Linked DNA regions of Anolis sagrei. The protein of the gene in region 1 interacts with the protein of each later gene in a biochemical or structural test. Links are inferred from orthologs where the notes say so. Each region holds a gene or a part of one and is shown on either strand. Other genes may lie near its edges.

Region 1 (7,125 bases):
TTCTCTCCAATGAGCAGTCGGGCTTTATTTCCAGAACGATAATGCTCAAGGGCCTAAATATCCCAAAGGCAGCAGATTTTATATGACAGGGTAAGCTCTAGAAAACCACCAGGTACTATAGATGATATTTCAGAGGAAAGAGCTGAGAAAGCCACCTCTGAATATTTCTTGCCTAAGAAAACCCTATGGCTTTATCGGGTCAACATAATGCAATGAATGGCTTGAAGGTTCATGACACTGAAACTGACAGTGGACCTATAAACTATGGAACAGATTTCCCCAAAAAGTAGGAGAGTCACAACTCCTGGATAATATAAAGTATAAGAATGAAGCAATGGTCTCTTTCCCCCTGCTTGATTATTTATTATCTGGATAACACCTATCATACAAAGATATCTCCTTACAGTTTACACTAGTAGATTATGTTTACTTGAAAAAGTAAATAAGCAGACATCTGAGAATCCCGGTTTGGAAGGAATATAGAGTTTGCTGTGTTTGATACGCTTAACATCCCAAAATACAAACTTTTAAAAACCAGATGTGGACCTCTTGCTATTTCTCTGTGTTTTAAACTTCCTTATTTCTTTCTTTTTCAGTCCTTAATCATAAACTCCCAAGCCAGGGACAAAACTTTGACCCTGGGATCCATTCAAGTTTCTTATACTTCAACAGTAAGAAGCTCACAAACCACCCTCTGAAAAAATCGTATCGGACCTATAAAGCTTTGTGATGGAAATATGATGTCCTTGGCTACCAGATTAAGGGTTGCTACTAGAATTTAGCAGAAAAGTGGGGAATAAATACATATGATAAATTAGTAAATAAATAAATAGGGAATCAGATTTCTTAGATGGGATTTCAAGAGAAAGTAGAAACCCTTGTTGGATGAAATTTTAAAAAGCCGCACCAGTAGCGTCAGTACTTAGGAAGCAAATTTTCCAGTAAGTTTAGACAAATTCCCAATAGTTAAAATTATATCCAAGATGATGCATAATGTGATCAGATTTTTTTTTTCAAAATAAGATATTTGATGCATCAGAGCTTGAAAGATGAGGAACTAAATACAGGATCTGAGAACAGGGAGTGGCTCAAAGACTGATAGCAAGCAAAGTCAATTGTTAAAGGAGAGAGAAGGGAAATTGTATTATATTATTGCTTTTACATGACATTTACTTTGAAAAAAATGTAAAACAAAACTCTCTAATGGAATGTCTGAAAATAAGCCTTTCTAATTAGTAAACCGGCCTGAGTCCCTCGTCGGAGGTGAGAAGACCGGTATATAAAAGTTCTAAATAAATAAATAAATAAATAAATAATCCAAATGCTATATGTGTTTGACTGAAATGCTAAAGACTAAATGTTTCCTTTTTTTAAAAAAAATAAATTAAAATTTCTTCTCCAGATCTTTGATTTGAAATATTGCGGCTTCCGGTTCACCGTGAATATTTTCACAATGCAGACAACTCGGATGCTACATAGTATAGAGAAACTTAACCTGACCAATGTGAAATAAATCTGCTGCTGTCGCTACTACTACTACTACTAATAATAATAATAATAATAATTGTTAAAAAACAAAACAAAATATGGATCGTTGATGTTGCAATCCCAGGCGACAACAGGATTGAAAAGAAACCACTGGAAAAGCTGACACAATATGAGGATTTAAAGATCGAACTGCAAAGACTCTGACACAAGCCAGTCAAGGTGGTCCCAGTGGTGATCGGCACACTGGCTGCAGTGCCTAAAGACCTTGGCCTGCACTTAAACACAATTGCCGCTGACAAAATTACCATCTGCCAGCTGCAGAAGGCCACCTTACTTGGATCTGCATGCATTATTTGCTGATACATCACATAGTTGTAGACACTTGGAAAGCGTCCGACGTGTGATCCAATACAACAGCTAATAGAGTGATCTTGTTTGCTGTGGCCTCATCTTGTTGTGTTTCAAATAATAATAATAATAATAATAATAATAATAATAATAATAAATATCAAAAAGTAACAAACATGCTGCTGTTATTAATTACATAGCTATCCAAGCTGGATAGGGAGATCTCCTTATGAAATAAATTGGATGTCTTTATGAGTTTGTTTGTTTTTTGTCATGTCAGTAGCGACTTGAGAAATTGCAAGTCGCTTCTGGTGTGAGAGAATTGGCCGTCTGCAAGGACATTGCCCAGGGGATGCCTGGATGATTTGATGTTTTATCACCTTGTGGGAGGCTTCTCTCATGTCCCCGCATGAGGAGCTGGAGCTGATAGAGGGAGCTCATCTGCCTCTCCCCGGATTTGAACCTGCAACCTGTTGGTCTTCAGTCCTGCCGGCACAGGGGTTTAACCCACTGTGCCACCGGGGGCTCCCTTTATGGGTGCTATTCCCCAATAGTGTGTTTCAAATGGCCAGTTTCAGGAAATTATTTCTACATTGTTTTCTCTACTTAGGAGTACATGTAAATTGCATAGCATTCTGCAACTAAGTTATGAACACTGCACTGAAAAAAATTACTGCACCCAAATAGATACATAAAATGCCAAAGACACCAGCTTGCAAATGTTCTGACACTCTCCAACTTTCCTGGGAACACAGAAATATTTCAGAAGCAGACCTGCGATTTTCAACATTTAGTCCTCTAACAATTCAACACGGCTTTGTTGTTACTGCTGTTTTCAAGAAGATTTTACAGCTCCAAAAGGAATGAATAAGTCATGACTCTCTTACCTTTTCCAAAAACACCCACGTCCACAAGGGCCAAGCCAAAGGCCAAGAGTTTAAGCCACAAAAGCATGGTTATATCCACGGATTGGGTGTATTCTTACTAAACAGCATGTGTGTGCCTGTCTATGGAAGGCAAAATAATTGTTATAGCTTGGTGCAAAGGCCTTGCCACGGTCCAAATCAAATGCAGAATATACTATGAGCATACATTGCAATGTCTCCTTATCATCCGGTGAGCAGCTTCCTCTGTCACCCAGAAACTAACCAACCGCAGTCACACTCTTCAGCCAAATGACGTCACAGACAATTTTGCTCACACTTCCCTAAAACGCAGTTGTCTTCTTCTTCTTCTTCTTCTTCTTCTTCTTCTTCTTCTTCTTCTTCTTCTTCGTTTCCAGGAAGTCACAAAGTTTTCTAAAGATGTTACAGAGACTGACTTCCTGGTTGAAAAACAGATGCTACCAGAGTTTCTGAAGAACTGAGAAGGGTTTCTCTTTCAAATTGTGTCCCCACTGCTTGCTTTCTTTTAGAGAAAACAAGAACTCAGTTCCTACACAAAATGAGCACCATACCAGCTTTTCCATAACACTGAGGAAATAAGATCTCAGTATGCTTTACTAACACGACCTCAGTAGACTACTTGATGCCACCTTAAAGTGCTCACTTGTTGCTTAAAGCAGAGCTGGACAAAAACCCCCAATGAAAATCTATATAAATAAAAATGTAATGTTCGTTTGTGATATTAACAGAACTCAAAAACCACTGGGGGAATTGACACCAAATTTGGACACAAGACACCTAACAACCCAATGTATGTCCTTCACTAAAAAAAATGATTATGTCATTTGGGAGTTGTAGTTGCTGGGATTTATACTTCACCTTCAATCAAAGAGCATTCTGAACCCCATCAACAATAGAATTGGACCAAACTTGGCACACAGTTCTCCCATGACCATAGAAAATACTGGAAGGGTTTGGTGGGCAGTGTCCTTTGGTTTTGGAGTTGTAGTTCACCTACATCCAGAGAGCACTGTGGACGCAAACAATGATGGTTCTGGACCAAACTCTACACGAATACTCAATATGCCCAAATGTGAACACTGGTAGAGTTTGGGGGAAATAGAATCTTGACAGTCGGGAGTTGTAGTTTCTGGGATTTATAGTTCACCTACAAACACAGAGCATTCTGAATCCCACCAACAATACAATTGGGCCAAACCTCCCACACAGAACCCCCATGTGCACCACAGCAACGCGTGGCAGGGGGTGGCTAGTAATATATATATATATATTCATTAAGTTTGGGTTCCTTGAGATTGTTTATCCACACCTAGCATATCCCTCATCTTTTTCTGTTAGTTGTGGATGATGGGAATTAAAATGTAAAAATACCTGGGGACTCATGTCTTAGAAGTCAATCACTTTTAAGGTATAATTCATCTGAGAACAAGGATAATTCCTTGGATTTATAGCATTCTCAGACCTGAGTTCAATGAAACATAATTTTACGCAATGTGTGCAGAAATATAGCACAAAGGCAATATTTTAAATGGGTATTGAAATGTTATTCCAACTGTATGTTTTTTACCTATAGAATGTTTCTGTATAAGTCAAGGTCAGATTTGGGGGCCAAAATTATGGTTTGTGATATGATCTATGGATACCTTGAGTAGAAGAAGTTGGTGGTTCTTTTAGGTTCTCCACAGAGAGGTAAAGTTCTCAAGGCTAGCTTTTGAATGTTCCTAGAGAACGTAAAAGAACCACTGACGCCCTCCACTACTACTGTTCCAGTGAAAAAACACCCCAAAAAAACCCCACTATGGTAGATAGTTTAGAGGGGATTTGGGCTTTTTTCAACTTCTTACAGCCTCTTCCACTTTCCACAACCCAGCAAGGAAGTGCCAAAAATTACCATCATGATCAAGGAGCCATTGCCACAGATGCAAAAACAACCCCTCTTTTTCACTTCTACCAAACTCTTCCACTTTCCATGCCACAGGAGAGGACTAGAAAGCTGCTGGCATGGGGATCGGGAATTTTTAGCTTCTCCTAACCACTTTCCTTATTCTGTTGGAAAAGCACCATACAGTCACTAATTGGCAGAAAGAGTAATAGGAATCAGGACTTTCTTCAATTTCAAGCAATGGAATTTTTACACATTCTCCCAACTTCCTTCACACTCCCTGCCTCAGATTCTCCAAGGACCTGAAGTCTTGAGGAAAGAGTCCTTCATTGTTTGAGAAGTACACTGGGTTCCTTCTTCACATTTCTGTCATTTACTTTGATAAGAATGAGATCACCTTGCCCTCATTCTATTGGTCCTGCATGATTTTCAGTTCATACAGAGTAAATGGCTAGGATTAATCTTTGTATGATAATTCCGATATTTTGCCCCACTAAGTTTGGCAACTTGATTTTGCCCATAGAAGGGTAAATAGAGAAATCGGGAATGTTTTGTTTAAGGGGTTCGGCCACTTTCTCCCTCATCTTATCATAGTTTTCTAGTGGCCAGGTCTATACAGAAGAGAGTAACTTGAAGTGAGGGCCATGTTGGATATCTGGGTTCAGAAAACAGACTAAGCAGATGCTTGTTCTTTGTTCCTGGCAGGTAGTGTGTGTGTGTGTGTGTGTGTGTATGTTGTTGTTTTTTTTTGGGGGGGGGGTAATATGTCTTCAGTGTACACCTTGGCATCCTTGTAGTGAAGGATAGGTGTCATATGTTCTGCAGTTGATGGTTGGTGATGGAAGGATTAATGTATTAGTTCTAGAGGGTTTGGTAATCTGTAAGTGGGAGCTCATGGGTGAAAGCAATTAAGGGTGGAGGTATGCAAGAGATGGGTTGCAGCTGAGTGTTTCTGGATATAAGGAGCTAGCCTTGGCACTGATCTTTGGGAGAAAAGTATTTGTTGCATTTTGGTGGTGGATATTGTTGGTTTTTTCCCCAGGTCTGTTGGATTTTCGGTGTCCTGACCTGTAATCTTGGAATCCTGGAACCTTGAACCTTTGGACTGGCTTTTGACTATGGTATACTCTTGACCCCTGGACTCTGTTATTGAACTCTCGGCATTTGACCATTGGACTGGACACTTTCAACTACGAAGTTATTTTTGCTATCAGTTTTGTTTATTCTGTAGCTGCGTGTTATCTTTGTGTTTTATATTTTGGACTATAAAAACAGCCAGCAAGTAAGTGCTTGTGCAGAAATCATTGATACTATGTATGTGTTTAACTGTTAGAGTATATATTTGTGTTTGTAACAGTAGCTAAAACTAGAGTTGTCTGGTTTGAATCCACAGTGAGTGTTGCCAAGGAGACCAGGCAGGATAGCTCAGGAGAGTGAGAAGTGGGCGGAGCCAAGCAGGAAAAGTTATGTGCGTCTTTGGAAAAGGGGCAGAGTGGAGGCTTGAAAAGCTTGGGAGAGAGGTGTGTGTGGGCAACTGGAGGTTTTTCAGTCTAGGAGGGCTGAAGAGAGAAACCTGGCCAGTTTCTTTAGTCAAAGAAGACTAAAGGAAGCCTGTTAAGATCCCTAGTCAAGGAAGGGCTAGAGATCAGAGATTTGATCAAGGAAAGATCAAATTGGAAGGCTATTCATATTAGGAAACATTGTTCACTAAAGAGCTTCACCTCAGTAAAAGTTAGCCACGAGCTGTGTCATCTGGAAGAGTGGACTGTATTACAAACCAAGTGATATTCAAAGTTCTATAAGTTATTTAACAGCCTGCAACCATACGCTTTGTACACAATAAACTTGTTATCTTTTGTTGAAGACCATCTCATCTCAATTAATCTGCGTCTGTAGAGCCAGATCTCATCGGTGGTACCTCAAATACCTCACGTTGGTGGAAGTTACCTTAATTTACAAATAATAATTGGCCTCCTCTATAATATATTCTTATACACAATTGAGGCCTGAGATTAATTCCCTCCATAATCATCCACACCTATACAATTGGTTCGCACATTCTGTACATGCTGTTTTAATTAAACTGTTTGTTTAAACTGGGAGTTTTGATTCATCTCTACCTAAACAAGATAGAGCCCTGACAACGTGACAATAGGGTTCTGGAACTGCCTCTTTAGGTTCTGAATCCCAGGAGATGGGGAAGAGCTTTCTACCATTGAGGCTGATCTGGGGTTTGCTCTTATTTTATAAGTCATGGGACTTGGGTGGGAGTTCTCATTAATTTACCCTCCAGTCAATAGCCAGCCAGGGAGCAAATCAATTGTTGCATTGTCCTCAGAGCTTAGGAAAGGATCAGGAAGTTGTCAGGGATTGACACTAGGCCACAGTTGGACACCTGATCACTCCCATCTCTTGGTCCTTACCAAATTCAATGAAAATTAAATAGTTTTTAGGATAAATAAAGTGACTCTTATTTAATCCGTTTTTCTCTGTCTGATCTCA
Region 2 (7,744 bases), on another chromosome or scaffold:
TCGGGTCTTTTCGCGCTTGCGGTGTTGGTTTTGTACTGGAAAAGCTTTTGTTTGTTGAGTTATTGGAGGAGACAAGGCTTTGTGCAGTGTTTGCACTGGGAAATTAACAGGGACGCTTGGAGAAAGCTAATCGTTTGGGCCAGCCAGAGTATTATTATTATTATTATTATTTATTTTTATTACAATTCTTCAATGTGGGTGTGCTCAGGCTTAATTTGACATGACATTTTCTTAGCTAATCATTTGAGGCTGCTTGATTATTATTATTATTATTATTATTATTATTATTTGTGGATGTGATCACGCTTAATCTGACATGACTTTTCTCAGCTAATCATTTGGGCTGGCTTGAATATTATTATTATTATTATTATTATTATTATTATTATATGTGGATGTGATCAGGTTCATTCTGACGTGACTTTTCTCGGATAATCTTTTGGGGCTGCTTTATTATTGTTATTATTATTATTATTATTCTATGTGGATGTGATCAGGCTTAATCTGACATGACTTTTCTCAGCTAATCATTTGGGCTGGCTTTATTATTATTATTATTATTATTATTTTACTGACACAAAAACACAGTATGTCACAGCAAACAAGATCTATACGCTGGATTTCGTATCACAAAATCATAAGTCAAACACTTCCCAAAAGTCTAGGGCTGTGTGATGTATTTTTGAATAATGCATGCAGGTCCAAGTCAGGTGACCTTTTATTATTATTATTATTATTATTATTATTATTATATGTGGATGTGATCAGGCTTAATCTGGTGTGACATTTTCTCAGATAATCATTTGTGCCATCTTGATTTATATTATTATTATTATTAAGTGTGGATGTGATCAGGCTTAATCTGGCATGACATTTTCTCAGCTAATTGTTTGAGCCAGCCAGAGTATTATTATTATTATTATTATTATTATTATTATTATTATTATTAGGAGCCTCTGGTGGTGCAGCCGGTTAAGCCACTGAGCTGCTGAACTTACTGACTGAAAGGTCAGTGGTTCAAATCCAGGGAATAGGGTGAGCTCTTGCTGTTAGCCCCAGCTTCTGCTAACCTTGAAGTTCAAAACCATGCAGCCCCACCAATGATTGAATTGGACCAAACTTCCCACACAGAATCCCCATGCCTTGAAGGGACTCGCTGGCATGCACCTCCCTCCAGCCTCACATGCTCTCCCTTTCCCGCATATGCTGCCATGCACTGAGCACACCTGTTCTCCTTTCCCCGATTAGAGTCTCTGCTGAGAGTCCAGCCAATCCTAGCGGAGGAGGGCTTTTGGTGGGAGGATTCACCATCTGTTTCCAAAAAGGAAGAGAAGGACAGGCGGAGAGATCTTCAGCCTTCTCTGCCAAAGGGACACCTAAGGCCATCAGAAATATGTGTTTCCTGATGGTCTTTAATGTCCCCTCTGAACCCCCCCCCCGGGGTCCCGACCCCCAGATTGAGAAGCGCTTTAGCCACACGTTGACACGCAAACCACAGTTTCTTTGTATGGAACTGGCCTGTCCATAGAAATTCAAGACGTAACAAGAAGCCACTGTGTAAACAAGCCAGAACTCTCAAACTAATAAGCCTTGATTTCCAATTAATGGCCTAGCAAACCATGGCTTGTGAATGGGAACGGGTTCCGAGGCAACAGCAAACCAGCCTCTATCAAATCTCAACCTGGTTTATGGTCCAAATTCAAATTATTTACGTAAATGGAAGGGTAAAATAAAAGCCACTGTCCAGACAGGTAGATAAATAAAACCCTGACCAGAAAACTCCAGAATGCAACGTTTCCATTGACAGGCAACTTCTTACCCAATGAAGCATGCAAACAGAATGGAGAAATTCCTGTTGGATTCCTGAAATAGTTGCAAAGAGTTTTTTGATGCCCAAAGGCCGGTCTTTACCTGTTTTTGTTTTTCCGCTCTCTTTCTTCCCAATGGCAACTTCCTCCTTTGTTTTATTGGGCAACGACGACGTAAATGCTAATGATCCAGAGCGATGCAAACGCGGAACCTTAACCCTTGAATATTTTAATAGGGGGCAAGGAAAACCAATTAGATAAAAACAGTGAAGGTAAATGTACGCAGCATTGATCCATTGCAGTGAAAGTGGTGTCAGGCTGCATTCATCCTCCAGTGTAGATGCAGCCCAGGATGTCCAGATTCAGGACGAGATCCTGCTGACCTCTTTTCCAAAACGCAGCCTTGGCTTTCTTATAAGATAAGCATCGGCATAAATCTCCCGTGCAATGCTGTCCCAGCCCTTTCCTCATTGACTACAGGGTGAATCTTGTTTTCTTTCTGGTCTGTTTGCAAGCAATTCAATTACTTACCGATTAGAGCAAGTCAAAACTTAATTTGCGAATGGCTTGGAGACAGGAGGACCAAAGGCGCTCGGCTTTGTTTCCTTTCGTGTAACGCTGGGCCCTACGTTGATTGGAGGTGCTGGATTACACACTCCAAACCAGTGGTTCTCCACCTTCCTAATGCTGTGACCCCTTAATCCAGTTCTTCATGTTGTGGTGACTCCCAACCATAACATTATTTTCGTTGCTACTCCACAGCTGCAATTTTGCTACTCTTATGAATCATAATGTAAATATCTGATAGGCAGGATGTATTTTCATTCACTGGACCAAATTGGGCACAAATACCCAATATGCCAAAATTTGAATACTGGCAGGATGGGGGGGGGGAGGGGTATTTTGTCATTTGGGAATTGTAGTTGCTGGGATTTATAGTTCACCTACAATCAATAATAAATAAATAAATAAATAAATAAACTTTATTTATACCCCACCACCATCTCCCCAGTCGTGACATGGAGCGGCTTAGATGAGGCCAAGCCCAAGCAACAAGTTAAAATAAAAATAAAACATCAATAGGAGCATAGTGTCTAGATCTAGGGAAGTCATGCTCCCCATGCTGTATTCCTCTTTGGTTAGACCACACCTGGAATATTGTGTCCAATTCTGGGCACCACAATTCAAGAGAGATATTGACAACCTGGAATGTGTCCAGAGGAGGGCGACTAAAATGATCAAGGGTCTGGAGAACAAACCCTATGAGGAGCGGCTTAAGGAGCTGGGTATGTTTAGCCTGAAGAAGAGAAGGCTGAGGGGAGATATGATAGCCATGTATAAATATGTGAGAGGAAGCCACAGGGAGGAGGGAGCAAGCTTGTTTTCTGCTTCCCTGGAGACTAGGACGCAGAACAATGGCTTCAAACTACAAGAGAGGAGATTCGATCTGAACACGAGGAAGAACTTCCTGACTGTGAGAGCCGTTCAGCAGTAGAACTCACTGCCCCAGAGTGTGGTGGAGGCTCCTTCTTTGGAAGCTTTTAAACAGAGGCTGGATGGCCATCTGTCAGGGGTGATTTGAATGCAATATTCCTGCTTCTTGGCAGGGGGTTGGACTGGATGGCCCATGAGATCTCTTCCAACTCTTTGATTCTATGATTCTATGAAACCAAAACACAACCGAAAATGCGAACAGCAACATCATAATAAAATAAAACATGTAAATACATAACAATGTAAAGTTACAATAGACGCAATCACAATGACAATGGGCAGGCTGCATGTAATGATTAAAAGAGAGACTAATTAAAACTAATTTAAAACTCGGGCGAGATAAAAAGAGACAGATTATAGCGGGGGTTGAGGAATCAAGCTTTCCCACAGAGGGGGGGACGGGACGACATATACTTCAATGACAGAATGTTGAGGCTAAGCAGTAATGTGGGGTTGTATACCTATTCTCCAAAGGCGCAGCAGAAGAGCCAGGTTTTAAGATCCTTAAATTCCATTATTGGTGGAGTTCAGAATGCTCTTTGATTGTAGGCTGACTATAAATCCCAGCAACTACAACTCCCAAATGACAAAATCAATTTTTTGAGTGATGATCACTCCTTGGGTTAGGAGTTGTCTTGTGGCCAAATTTGGTGGCAATTTGTCCAGTGATTGTTGAGTTATGTTAATCCCACAAATGAACATTACATTTTTATTTATATAGAATAGCCGTCCACTGCCATGCGTTGCTGTGGCCCAGTCGATGTATATGTTTTGTGTGTGTATATATTTGTATATATGTGTGTTTGCGTATATGTGTGTGTGTGTGTATGTGTATATATATGTGTGTGTATATATAGGGTTTTGCGTATGCATTGTAATGTAATTTTTGTAGGGGGTTTTGGCTTTTCAAGTGTCTTCTGCTGTGTTTTTCAGTGTTTTTCTGAATGATGGTCACTCGTTGGCCTGAGAGGTGCATTGTCCCAAATTTGGTGTCAATTTGTCCAGTGGTTTTTAAGTTATGCTAATCCAACAAACGAACATTACATTTTTATTTATAGAGATTGTTGGGGCACCAGCATTATTCTTTAGTAGAGCAGGCTTGCAAAACGACAGCTCCTCTGATACCAAGGCAGTTATAGAGTGCTCAAACTGCATCAATTCCGCAGTGTAGATGCACCTGTGGCTCTCCGAAGAGGGCACCAAAATTGAAATAATCCCTCTCCGGTGTCCTTGTGTGCCACATCTGGATGCCAAGCAGAGAAGCAAGCGGGTGAAGGATTATTCCGCAGTCCCGGCTTCCCTTTCTGCTGCAGCCGTCCCCCCCCCCCCCTCCGCTTCCATCAAAGCTTCCATCCTCCCCGGGGAAAACCGCAAGAGAGGAGAGGATGTGAATTATTATTACTCTTGGGAAGGGGGGGACATCGGGGAGGGACCTCGATGGGGGGCCGTGACCCGTTTCCATGCCATCAGCGGTGGCGGTGCCCCGGCGTTCCTGGTTACATAACCCCAAGATGCGGCTCAGCCTCTGTTCGGGTCTCGTAAGTCCTCCCTCCCCTCCTCCTTTCCCTCTTTCTTTCTTTCTCTCCATCCCTCTTTCAGGCTTCCTTGTTTGGCCTGGAGAGGAGGCCAGTGGAACCCCACCTTGGGATGCCTTCGGGATTGCAATTGGGTTGCATCTCAATTCCGTTGTGCTGATGCTGGCATTCTGGCTGATGCCAGAAAGCAAGCTGTATGCATGTATGATTTTCGCCTGGAACGTTTCCGTCCTTTATTTAAAAGGCCTGGAATTTCCATCCCTGCAAATAGAAAGCCATTGCTTCTCTTCCAACTCTATGATTCTAGGACTTTCTTTTGGTGGCCCCAGGCCTCTCACATCAAGAATCCAGGGATCCATTAAGGGTGGTGGAGGGGGGAGATGAGCTTTACCTACTATATCAGTGTTTCTCAACCTGGGGGTCGGAACCCCTGGGAGGGTCGTGAGGGGGTGTCAGAGGGGTCATGGGGGTTCTGTGTGGGAAATATGGCCCAATTCTATCGCTGGTGGAGTTCAAGGGGCTCTTTGATTAGAGGTGAACTATAAATTCCAGCAACTATAACTCCCAAATAACAAGTTCTATTTTCTCCAAACTCCACCAGTATTCGCATTGGGACATATTGAGTATTTGTGCCAAGTCCACAGTGCTCTCTGGATGTAGGTGAACTACAACTCCCAAACTCAAGGTCTATGCCTACCAAACGCTTTCAGTATTTTTTTTGTTGGTCATGGGAGTTCTGTGTGCCAAGTTTGGTTCAATTCTATTGCTGGTGGAGTTCAGAATGCTCTTTGTTTGTAGGTGAACTATAAATCCCAGCAACTACAACTCTTTAATATCAAGGTGTATTTTCCCCAAACTCCACCAGCGTTTGACCATATTGAGTATTCGTGTAGAGTTTGGTCCAGATCCATCATTCTTTGAGTCCATAGTGCTCTCTGGATGTAGGTGAACTACAACTCCCAAACTCAAAGCCAATGCCCACCAAACCCTTCCAGTACTTTCTGTTGGAGTTCTCTGTGCCAAGTTTGGTTCACTTCCATCATTGGTGAAGTTCAGAATGCTCTTGGATTATAGTGAACTATAAATCCCAGGAACTACAACTCCCAAATAACAAAATCAACCCCCCCCCCAACCCCACCAGTATTCAAATTTGGATGTATTGGGTATCTGTGCCAAATCTGGTTCAGTGAATGAAAATACATATTATTTTACGCTGATATTATTTTTATTACATGTATTATTTTACTCTAATTATTATTATTATTATTATTATTATTATTATTATAACAGTTATCATTTTACTCTATTATTACATTATTGTTTTACTGTACTATTATTATTACTCTATTATTACTGTTATTATTACATTTCCATTATTTTAACTCTATTATAATTATAATTATTATTATTATTATTATTACATTTATCATTTTACTCTATTATTATTTTACTTTACTATTGTTATTATTACTCTATTATTGCTGTTATTATTACATTTCCATTATTTTAACCCTATTATTATTATTATTAGTATTACATATATGTTTATTATTATTGGAAGGATACATAAAGCACATTGAAGATGCTTAGAATCAGAGTTGGACAGTCTTATCTAAAAGATAGTGTTATGTATATATTCAAAAACATTTAACCTTCTGATGCCTCAATTAATGTAATTTTATTGGTGTCCATTTTTCTTTTGAAATTTACCATTTGCTGCTGCATTTCCCACTCTCAGCTTATAATCAAGACAATATGTTTTCCCAGTTTTTGTGGTAAAATTAGGTGCCTCAGTTTATAATTGGGTCGGCTTATACTTGAGTATATACGGTAATATCTCAAATACTCTTTCCTTATGTTCTTTCATCTCCTGTCCTCATGGGAAGGGATTGCAACCATCTTGAAAGTGAGGAATTATTATTATTATTATTAGTAATAGTAGTAGTAGTAGTAGTATATCACTCCAAAATACTCTTTCTTTATGTCCTTCCATCTCCTGTCCTTATGGGAAAACGTTGCATTCATCCTGATATAATACACCAAGGAATTATACTTATTAGGGTTGTTATTATTATTATTCATAATAATAATAATAATAATAATAATAATAATAAATGTATTAATATCTCACCCCCAAATATTATTTCCTTCCATCTCCTGTCCTCATGGGAAAACATTGCATCTATCCTGATAGTTAATTCAAAGAATACAGTAAGGAATTAATAATAATAAGAAGAAGAAGAAGAAGAAGAAAAAGATCTCACCCCAAAATACTATTTTTTTTATTTCCTTCGATCTCCTTTCCTTATGCAAAAATGTTGCATTCATCCTGATAGAATACAGTGAGGAATTATTATTAATATTGTTATTATTATTCATAATAATAATAATAATAATAATAATAAATGTATTAATATCTCACCCCCAAATATTATTTCCTTCCATCTCCTGTCCTCATGGGAAAGAAAACATTGCATCCATCCTGATAGGTAAGTCAAAGAATACAGTGAGGAATTATTATTATTATTATTATTATTATTAATACTAATACTACTACTACTACTAATAATAATCTATATAAATAAAAATGTAATGTTGTGGGATTAACAGAACTCAAAAACCACTGGACGAATTGACACCAAATTTGGACTGGACGAATTGACACCAAATTTGGACACCAAATTTGTGTCTTGTGTCTTGGACACAAGACACCTAACAACCCAATGTATGTCCTTCACTAAAAAAAAAATTGATTTTGTCATTTAGGAGTTGTAGTTGCTGGGATTTATAGTTCACCTACAATCAAAGAGCATTCTAAACCCCACCAACCATGGAATTGAATGCAACACTATTATTTTGTTTGGTGGGAAGTGTCCTTTGGTTTTGGAGTTGTAGTTCACCTACATC

The links.
Region 2: of the proteins of PTPRC (region 1) and CSK, one has a biochemical effect on the other in vitro, tested with the Homo sapiens proteins (2 studies listed by IntAct). The link is inferred for Anolis sagrei from reciprocal best matches to the Homo sapiens genes PTPRC and CSK.

What each region holds. Positions count from the first base shown.
Region 1 is NC_090024.1:110,843,875-110,850,999, reverse strand, and holds the start of PTPRC (receptor-type tyrosine-protein phosphatase C), read right to left. Parts: upstream 3,017-7,125; 5' UTR 2,929-3,016; intron 2,844-2,928; 5' UTR 2,791-2,843; coding exon 2,724-2,790; intron 1-2,723. UniProt on the Homo sapiens protein: Protein tyrosine-protein phosphatase required for T-cell activation through the antigen receptor. Acts as a positive regulator of T-cell coactivation upon binding to DPP4.
Region 2 is NC_090029.1:21,309,803-21,317,546, reverse strand, and holds the start of CSK (tyrosine-protein kinase CSK), read left to right. Parts: upstream 1-4,737; 5' UTR 4,738-4,762; coding exon 4,763-4,840; intron 4,841-7,744. UniProt on the Homo sapiens protein: Non-receptor tyrosine-protein kinase that plays an important role in the regulation of cell growth, differentiation, migration and immune response.